2 linked regions of the Ovis aries genome follow. The protein of the gene in region 1 interacts with the protein of each later gene in a biochemical or structural test. Links are inferred from orthologs where the notes say so. Each region holds a gene or a part of one and is shown on either strand. Other genes may lie near its edges.

The links.
Region 2: the proteins of PKD1 (region 1) and HDAC9 form a complex in vitro, tested with the Homo sapiens proteins (2 studies listed by BioGRID, with this or other methods). The link is inferred for Ovis aries from reciprocal best matches to the Homo sapiens genes PKD1 and HDAC9.

What each region holds. Positions count from the first base shown.
Region 1 is NC_056077.1:2,155,292-2,159,105, reverse strand, and holds part of PKD1 (polycystin-1), read left to right. Parts: intron 1-97; coding exon 98-242; intron 243-349; coding exon 350-970; intron 971-1,199; coding exon 1,200-1,356; intron 1,357-1,450; coding exon 1,451-1,703; intron 1,704-1,783; coding exon 1,784-1,979; intron 1,980-3,549; coding exon 3,550-3,720; intron 3,721-3,814. UniProt on the Homo sapiens protein: Component of a heteromeric calcium-permeable ion channel formed by PKD1 and PKD2 that is activated by interaction between PKD1 and a Wnt family member, such as WNT3A and WNT9B. Both PKD1 and PKD2 are required for channel activity.
Region 2 is NC_056057.1:28,171,117-28,174,930, forward strand, and holds part of HDAC9 (histone deacetylase 9), read left to right. Parts: intron 1-596; coding exon 597-747; intron 748-1,728; coding exon 1,729-1,855; intron 1,856-3,814. UniProt on the Homo sapiens protein: Responsible for the deacetylation of lysine residues on the N-terminal part of the core histones (H2A, H2B, H3 and H4).

The sequences.
Region 1 (3,814 bases):
GGGAGGCCCCTGCAGCAGCTGCGCTAGGGGCAGGGTGAGCGGGGTGAGCCCCACCTGGCCTGGCCAGCCAGCTGGACACGGTGCGGGCGCCCTGCAGGTGCCCAGCCGGGAGCTCGTATGCCGCTCGTGCCTGAAGAAGACGCTGCACAGGCTGGAGGACATGATGCGCATCCTGCAGGCGGAGACCGCCACAGGCGCGGGGACGCCCACCTCCATCGCAGACAGCATCCTCAACATCACAGGTGCACCGCCCCTGCCGACCTCGGACCCCCCACACCCCTCCCCTCACTTGTTTCCCCCGACTTGCCTCCCCTCACTTGCCTCCCCCCACCTCCTCTCCCGCCCACAGGTGACCTCATCCACGTGGCCAGCTCGGATGTGCAGGGCCCACAGCCCTCGGAGCTGGGGGCGGAGCCGCCCTCACTCCTGGTGGCATCCAGAGCCTACCAGCTCTCGTCCGCCCTCGTGGGCATTCTCACGCGCTCCCGCGTGCTCAACGAGGAGCCCCTGACGCTGGCGGGCGAGGAGATCCTGGCGCAGGGCAAGCGCTCGGACCCGCGGAGCCTGCTGTGCCAGGGTGACGCCCCAGGCCCTGGCTGCCACTTTTCCATCCCCGAGGCCTTTAGCGCGGCCCTGCCCAACCTCAGCGATGTGGTGCAGCTCATCCTGCTCGTGGACTCCAACCCCTTCCCCTTCGGCTACATCAGCAACTACACCGTCTCCACCAAGGTGGCCTCCATGGCCTTTCAGACGCAGGCCGGCGCCCAGATCCCCATCAGGCAGCTCGCCTCAGAGCGCGCCATCACTGTGAAGGTGCCCAACAACTCGGACCAGGCCGCCCAGGGCCAGCACGTCTCTGCCGGTTCCGCCGTCATCCAGCCCCGGGCCTCAGTCAGCGTCGTGGTCACTCCTGAGAACAGCAACCCCGAGGCGGGGCTGCACCTGCAGCTCACCTTCACGGTGCTGGATGGTGCGTGGCTGGCGGGGCCCTTGGTGGGCGGCCTCCTCTCTCGGCCCAGCCCGTGTGGGGCTGCAGGGTGGCCAGCTAAACCGGCGTTTCTCACGGGCACCCCCAACTTGCGGTCTATGTCCTGCTTCATGAGGCTCTAGGGGCCCGGCCGGAGGGCCATGGGTGGGCTCCCAGGGCATGTGGGCTGCCTGGGCAGGGGTCTGAGCCTGCCCGTGCCGCCCGCCCACAGAACAGTACTTGCCGGACGAGCCCGAGCCCTTCCTGGCCGCCTACCTGCACTCGGAGCCCTGGCCCAACGAGCACAACTGCTCAGCCAGCAAGAGGATCAGCCTGGAGGCCCTGGCGGGCGGCGACCACAGGCCCTACACCTTCTTCCTCGCCCCGGGGTGCGCGCGCACCGGGCCTCAGAGGGCGGGCTCCCTGCGGTGGGAGTGGCCGGGTGGGTGGGGCGGGGCCTGGCTGTGACACGCCCCCCTCCAGGTCCCGAGACTCGGGCGCGAGCTACCACCTGAACCTGAGCAGCCACTTCCGCTGGTCGGCGCTGGCGGTGTCCGTGGGTCTGTACACGTCGCTCTGTCAGTACTTCAGCGAGGAGCACATGGCGTGGCGCACGGAGGGGCTGGCGCCGCTGGAGGAGACTTCGCCCCGCGAGGCCGTCTGCCTCACCCGCCACCTCACCGCCTTCGGCGCCAGCCTCTTCGTGCCCGCCAGCCGCGTCGAGTTCACCTTCCCTGTGAGTGGCGCCGCACCCAGACGGAGGGGAGCCCGGCGCCATGGTGCGCGGCCTCGGGGCTGACGGGCCTGTCTCCCTAGGAGTCGGCCTCCGGCGTCAACCACGTCGTCCTGCTGACCTGCGCCGTGTGCCTGCTGACCTACGCAGTCATGGCCGTGATCCTGCGGAAGCTGGACCAGCTGGACATCCGCCGGGTCCGCGCCATCCCGTTCTGCGGGAAGGGGGGCCGCTTCAAGTACGAGATCCTGGTCAAGACTGGCTGGGGCCGGGGCTCAGGTGAGGGGCTTCCAGCAGGGCAGGTCCACATGCAGTGGCCTGTGGGCATGCAGTCCCACTGGCACGCACAGGCGGGCAGGACCAGCCGAACCATCAACTGTGTGGTGGTTTAGTCACTACGTGGCCCCACGGTCTATAGCCTGCCATGGGATTCTCCAGGCAAGAATACTGGAGTGGGTTGCCATTCCCTTCTCCTGGGGATCTTCCCGACCCAGGGATAGACCTGGGTCTCCTACATTGCAGGCAGATTCTTTACCGTTTGAGCCCCCAAGGAAGCGCATCTATCCGTATGGGAGGTGATTACTAAACGGTAGCGGGTGGTCTGGGTGAAAAAATTGTTTTCACAATGTCGCTAGCTCTCTGACCATCAGTTACAGCCATCAGAGAAGCAGCTTGGCGTGGGGTCAGTACTGCGTGTTGGACGCTGAGATCAGGCATCTTGTTTCTCTGTGGGAAACTGAGCGAGTAGTCTGAGCGGTGTTCCCGTCAGTGAGCACTGCCTTAGGGGCGTCCTTGTGTTTTGGCCAGAGGTCATTTTACTGTCCATGTCGTCCTTGCTCCTGCTGTGAAGCACCTCTGAGAGCTCATCGCATGTGAAGAAGCATTTGCCGTATTGGTTGCTCTGCGGTGTCTTCATCCTTTTTGTTGCAACCAGTGTCCTCGCTCATGTTGGCCACTCATTGCCACTGGCGGCGTTTTTAGGGCCTGGGGCAGCAGCAGGAGCCGCACAGTTGGCTGGGTCTTCAGTTGCGTGTTTGCCTTTGATTCAAAGTGCACTTTTTCGGTACCGGTTTTCATCTCTTTGTTGTGCTTTCGTGTTTATCACCAGGTTCCCTCTCTTATTAGGAAAGTGTTTGTTTTCTTAAGGTTTTGTGTGTTTATCCTGAAGCTGCCCCAGGTCTCCGTTGCTGTGTGGGCTTTCTCTAGAGGCGCGGGCGCTCCTCTCTAGCTGTGGAGCACGGGCTCCCGGTGCTGACTCAATACTGCGGCTCACGGGCTCTAGAGCCCAGGCTTCATCACTGAGGCGCCCGGGCCGAGTTGTCCCACCGCGTAGTGGAATCTTCTGGGACCAGGGATCAAACTTATGTCCCCTTCATTGCAAGGCAGATTTTTACCACTGGACTGCCAAGGAAGTCCAGGGAAATTTTCATCTTTGATGTTTTTTTCTGTTCCTCTCTATGACATTCATAGAGCATCTTGTGGGTTTATTGTGGCCGACACGGGGCGAGACCACTGTGTGCTTCTTGGTTGGAGTGAGACGGGCGCGTGGGGGCTGGTCAGCAGCAGGCTGTGGAAGAGGCGGTGCCGCCAGTCACCACCAGGACGCAGGTCCCTTATGCAGCAGACTGCAGGCTGGCAGCCGCGCTTCTGGTCCATGTGGCCGCTCACAGTTAATGCTCCACTGCTACTGGGGCCGTCTGTGGAACAGTGTGAGGGCCTGAGGTCATCTGTGTCAGAGCCATGGGGCGAGGGCCATGCCTGTTGAAGGGAGATCTACAGGCAGATGCACCCGGGGTCAGTGTCCATGGACAGAAACCCAGAGTTGCGCCCATGTCTGCCCCTGCTCCAGGGACCACGGCTCACGTGGGCATCATGCTGTATGGGGCAGATGGCCGCAGCGGCCACCGACACCTGGATGGGGATGGAGCCTTCCAGCGCAACAGCCTGGATGTCTTCCAGATCGCCACCCCACACAGCCTGGGCCGCCTGTGGAAGATCCGCGTGTGGCATGACAACAAAGGTGGGGCCCGCTGCCCGCTCACTGCCTGCCCCACCCGCCCACCGCCCACTGGCCCTGACTGCCTGCCGCCCCTGAACACCCGCTCGCTCTCGCA
Region 2 (3,814 bases), on another chromosome or scaffold:
TTTGTGTGCTGAGTGAACTAATTAATTAGACTTTGCTATTTTGAGAAAATAGCTTGTGGTAGATTTAGGGATTGTCTTCATCTATTGAAAACCTTCTCTGTAAGGTTTTGAAACTTTTAGCCTTCATTTTATTTCAGATGTATTTTTCCCAAATTAATTCATATCTCACTATTCTGCTCAGTTTAATTATGTTCATACTGTTTCTTAGGATAAGAAGTTAAGATTTCAGTTGTTTATGTTGTGAGGGACTTGGTAAAACAGACTGGGAAATTCCTGGTTTTCTTTGCTGTATCATATATTTCAGATGCACAAAGAAAAGTCACTCAAGGAACTGAAGATCTGCGTGAATTTGGTAATATTCTGATAGGACGGCGTAGGTAATGAAGCTACCTAAAAACTTGCTTGTTAATGACAGTAAAACAGTTAATGGCATTAGTTGCTTGTCTTTAGATTTCAATAATCTACAAAAAAAAAAAGGGTAAAATGTAAAGTAAATAGAAGTAAGTTCCAAAAGCTCATAACATTTCGATTTTGGTCGTTGATGACTATGAAGCCTAAAGAAATTGCACACTCTCATGTCTTTCTCTTCTCGCAAGTTGCAACAGGAACTTCTAGCCATAAAACAGCAGCAAGAACTGCTAGAAAAGGAGCAGAAACTGGAGCAGCAGAGGCAAGAACAGGAAGTAGAGAGGCATCGCAGAGAACAGCAGCTTCCTCCTCTCAGAGGCAAAGATAGAGGACGAGAAAGTAAGAGGCACCAGGGTAAAAGATGGGTCTCTTCCCTCATCTTTAGCTGATTGTCATTCAGAAAGGAGCCTGATAAAGAGTGGAATTAAACTTGTCAAAATTGTCTGTGTTTAAGTAAAAGAATAAATTATGGGCCCAAATGTAAAGCTTTGAAATTCAGATGTCAGCTCTTTGCATTCAGTCTACAGGCATCTTTGGAAGTAAATTTAACCTTACTTGGCAAAGATGATAATATCTTTTATTTTGCACCTTAAAAATAACGTTATGCTAAGGCAATATGGCTATGCCATTGTGTTTCATGATAAACTTACTTCCACATTACTCCACCTTCTTCCCATTCAAGTAGTGATTGCTGTTTAATAAGTCAAGCCTTGTCTCATTTACTTTTTAAGTACCCAGACTTTGGAAAGATTTAAGGTAGAACTTGTGTTTAAAAAAAAAAAAAAAAAACAAAAAACTATCCACAAGAGGGAGACAGATCCAAATAATTCCCCTGCATGAGGTCAGTTCAAAATCAGGTCGTAGCAAGGTTTAAAATGTGATGACTTGAACTGAAATTGTCAGCATTATTTATTTGTTTAACGCTCAAAAGTTTTCCTTTTTTTAAGTTAGTTTTTGAAAACTAGAAATTCAGAAGAGCTCATTTAAATGTGTTTAATCACTTATATCATCCCCCAAGATTCCTGACTTTTAAAAAACAGTGCTTCGTTCCTCAGCAGTATTTTTTAAAGCTTAGGAAAAAACTACTATTAATTCTGGGAATCCCCGTTCTGTAAAAGCAATTAAATCATCGGAGGTCTTTTGAAAATTGGCAGTTGAAGCAGTAGTTATGAAACATTACTATGTCATTTTCTAAAGCCTGTTTAGACTCTCGTTTTTTCTTTTAATAGGAAAACTCATATGCTGTGACCAGTAATATTCCAGAGGCAGGAAAAGACAGAACCCCAAATCACCATCTGTTTCTGTGTGTGTGTGTTTCAGGGGCAGTGGCAAGTACAGAAGTAAAGCAGAAGCTTCAAGAATTCCTGTTGAGTAAATCAGCAACAAAAGACACTCCAACTAATGGAAAAAATCATTCCGTGAGCCGCCATCCCAAGCTCTGGTACACGTATGTTCAGCGTTTGGCTTTCTTCATCCCCAGGGGTAAAGATCACAGGTTCTCAATTCAGCTGACCTGGGCACAGATCCCTGGCCTGCCAAGTTCTGAGCTATATGGCCGAGGGCAAGTTCCTTGAATTCTCTAGTGCTTGGAATATTTCTCTGTAAAAAAGAGGATTTCTGGAAAGGTCCTGTAAAATAATGTGGTAAAGTGTGTAACAGAGATTAGCTCTTAAATAAGTGTTAGCAAGTACCACCTTGAGGGCTACAAAGTATTATGCATGTTCTTTGCCGAATGAATAACTGATAAATGTAAGGTGGGGCATAGAAATTAATTCATATTTTGCATTTTTCTATTCTCAGATGGTACATCTGATATCTCTACAATTATTTCTGAAGATTTGGCTGGTTGAGATTTTATTTTACTTGGCTTTATATAAGATGGATATCTGAGTTATTTTTTTTAAGTCCAGAAGATTTTTGACATAATTAAAAAAAATGAAAAGGAAGACAAAGGAAGGAAGAGAAGGGAAGACAAGAAAAGTAGCTGACTGATACATCTAAGTTTTAGTGACCAGTTTAGCCCTGCCCACCCTGAAAAATGAGAGTATATTGGTTTTTAACATATAAGTTGACACATAATACACTGTGGTATTATGGTTTTTTATGCAACCTTGTTTCTCCAAGTCCAGTAAAGAGATACTATGCAACACACAATTTTTTCCGTACAGTATGAGGGAAGTGGTATTTTTAAAAATCAGGAGAAAAACTGATAGGCAAAGCATATCTCAATATAGACTAATAGATTATACTTTCATCTCTCTCATATCTCTTCCCTGATGGCTCAGATGGTAAAAGCGTCTGCCTACAATGCAGGAGACCAGGGTTCGATCCCTGGGTTGGGAAGATCCCCTGGAGAAGGATGTGGCAGCCCACTCTAGTACTCTTGCCTGGAAAATCCCATGGATGAAGAAGCCTGGTAGTCTACAATCCATGGGGTCATAAAGAGTCAGACACAACCGAGTGACTTTGCTTTCACCTCTCATATTTATAAAATATGTTTAGGATTTTATACTTACATATTTTTAATTACATCATAAGGATAAGGGAGTAAATGCTTGATTATTGGAATTATTTGATATTCTGTTATCTTGACATTTCAAGTATGCCAGGAGTTCTATTTAAAGAGTTATTGTTTTTCTAATTCTGTCCTATAAGTATCTTCCCATTTCTGCATCCAAAAACAAAAAGGTAAATAAGGCAGATTCCAGAATGCTATATAAATAATTTTTAATAATTTATATGATTTTTATCATGCATGTCAATTGACTTGAAAAACCAGTCCCTGAAGAAAATTTCCACATGTTCAATCAACATCAAAAATATTGAAAAAGAAATTTTGTTTTATTACCTAGAATTACATATATAATTTATAACTAATTCATATCCCTTCTAAGTTAAAGCCTCTTTTAAGAAAAGATAATTCCTTTTTTTAAAAGTGGGAAGCAGCTACATGCAAACAACTTGTCAGCTGAAAATTCTTTAGCTGTTCCCTTGGGTATATTCGACATGGCTCTCCAATGTTACTTAGCAATCCTTTTTTTTTTTTTTTGTACTGAATAGTAGGATCCAACTCCTGGATAGCTAGCCATAAGTCATTAATTTGTGAAATCTGAACTTAATACTTTTTTTTGCCAATCATGATCAGATGAAATATCCTCACACTAGTTATCTTGAGATTGTTGATTCAAAGAAATAATACTAGTATCATCATGGTGTTGATACTATGTCCTATCTAATGTTTTCTTCATATATAATGATTATAAATGTTTATATTGGCTAGGTAGTCTATGTTCAGTCCTGAACTATTCTCCACTGACACAACTGTATCTCTTTCACTTGTATTAATGCGGGGAAAGATAACACATTTTGAGAGTTCAGTTTCATACAAAGAAGAATGTGTCTTCAG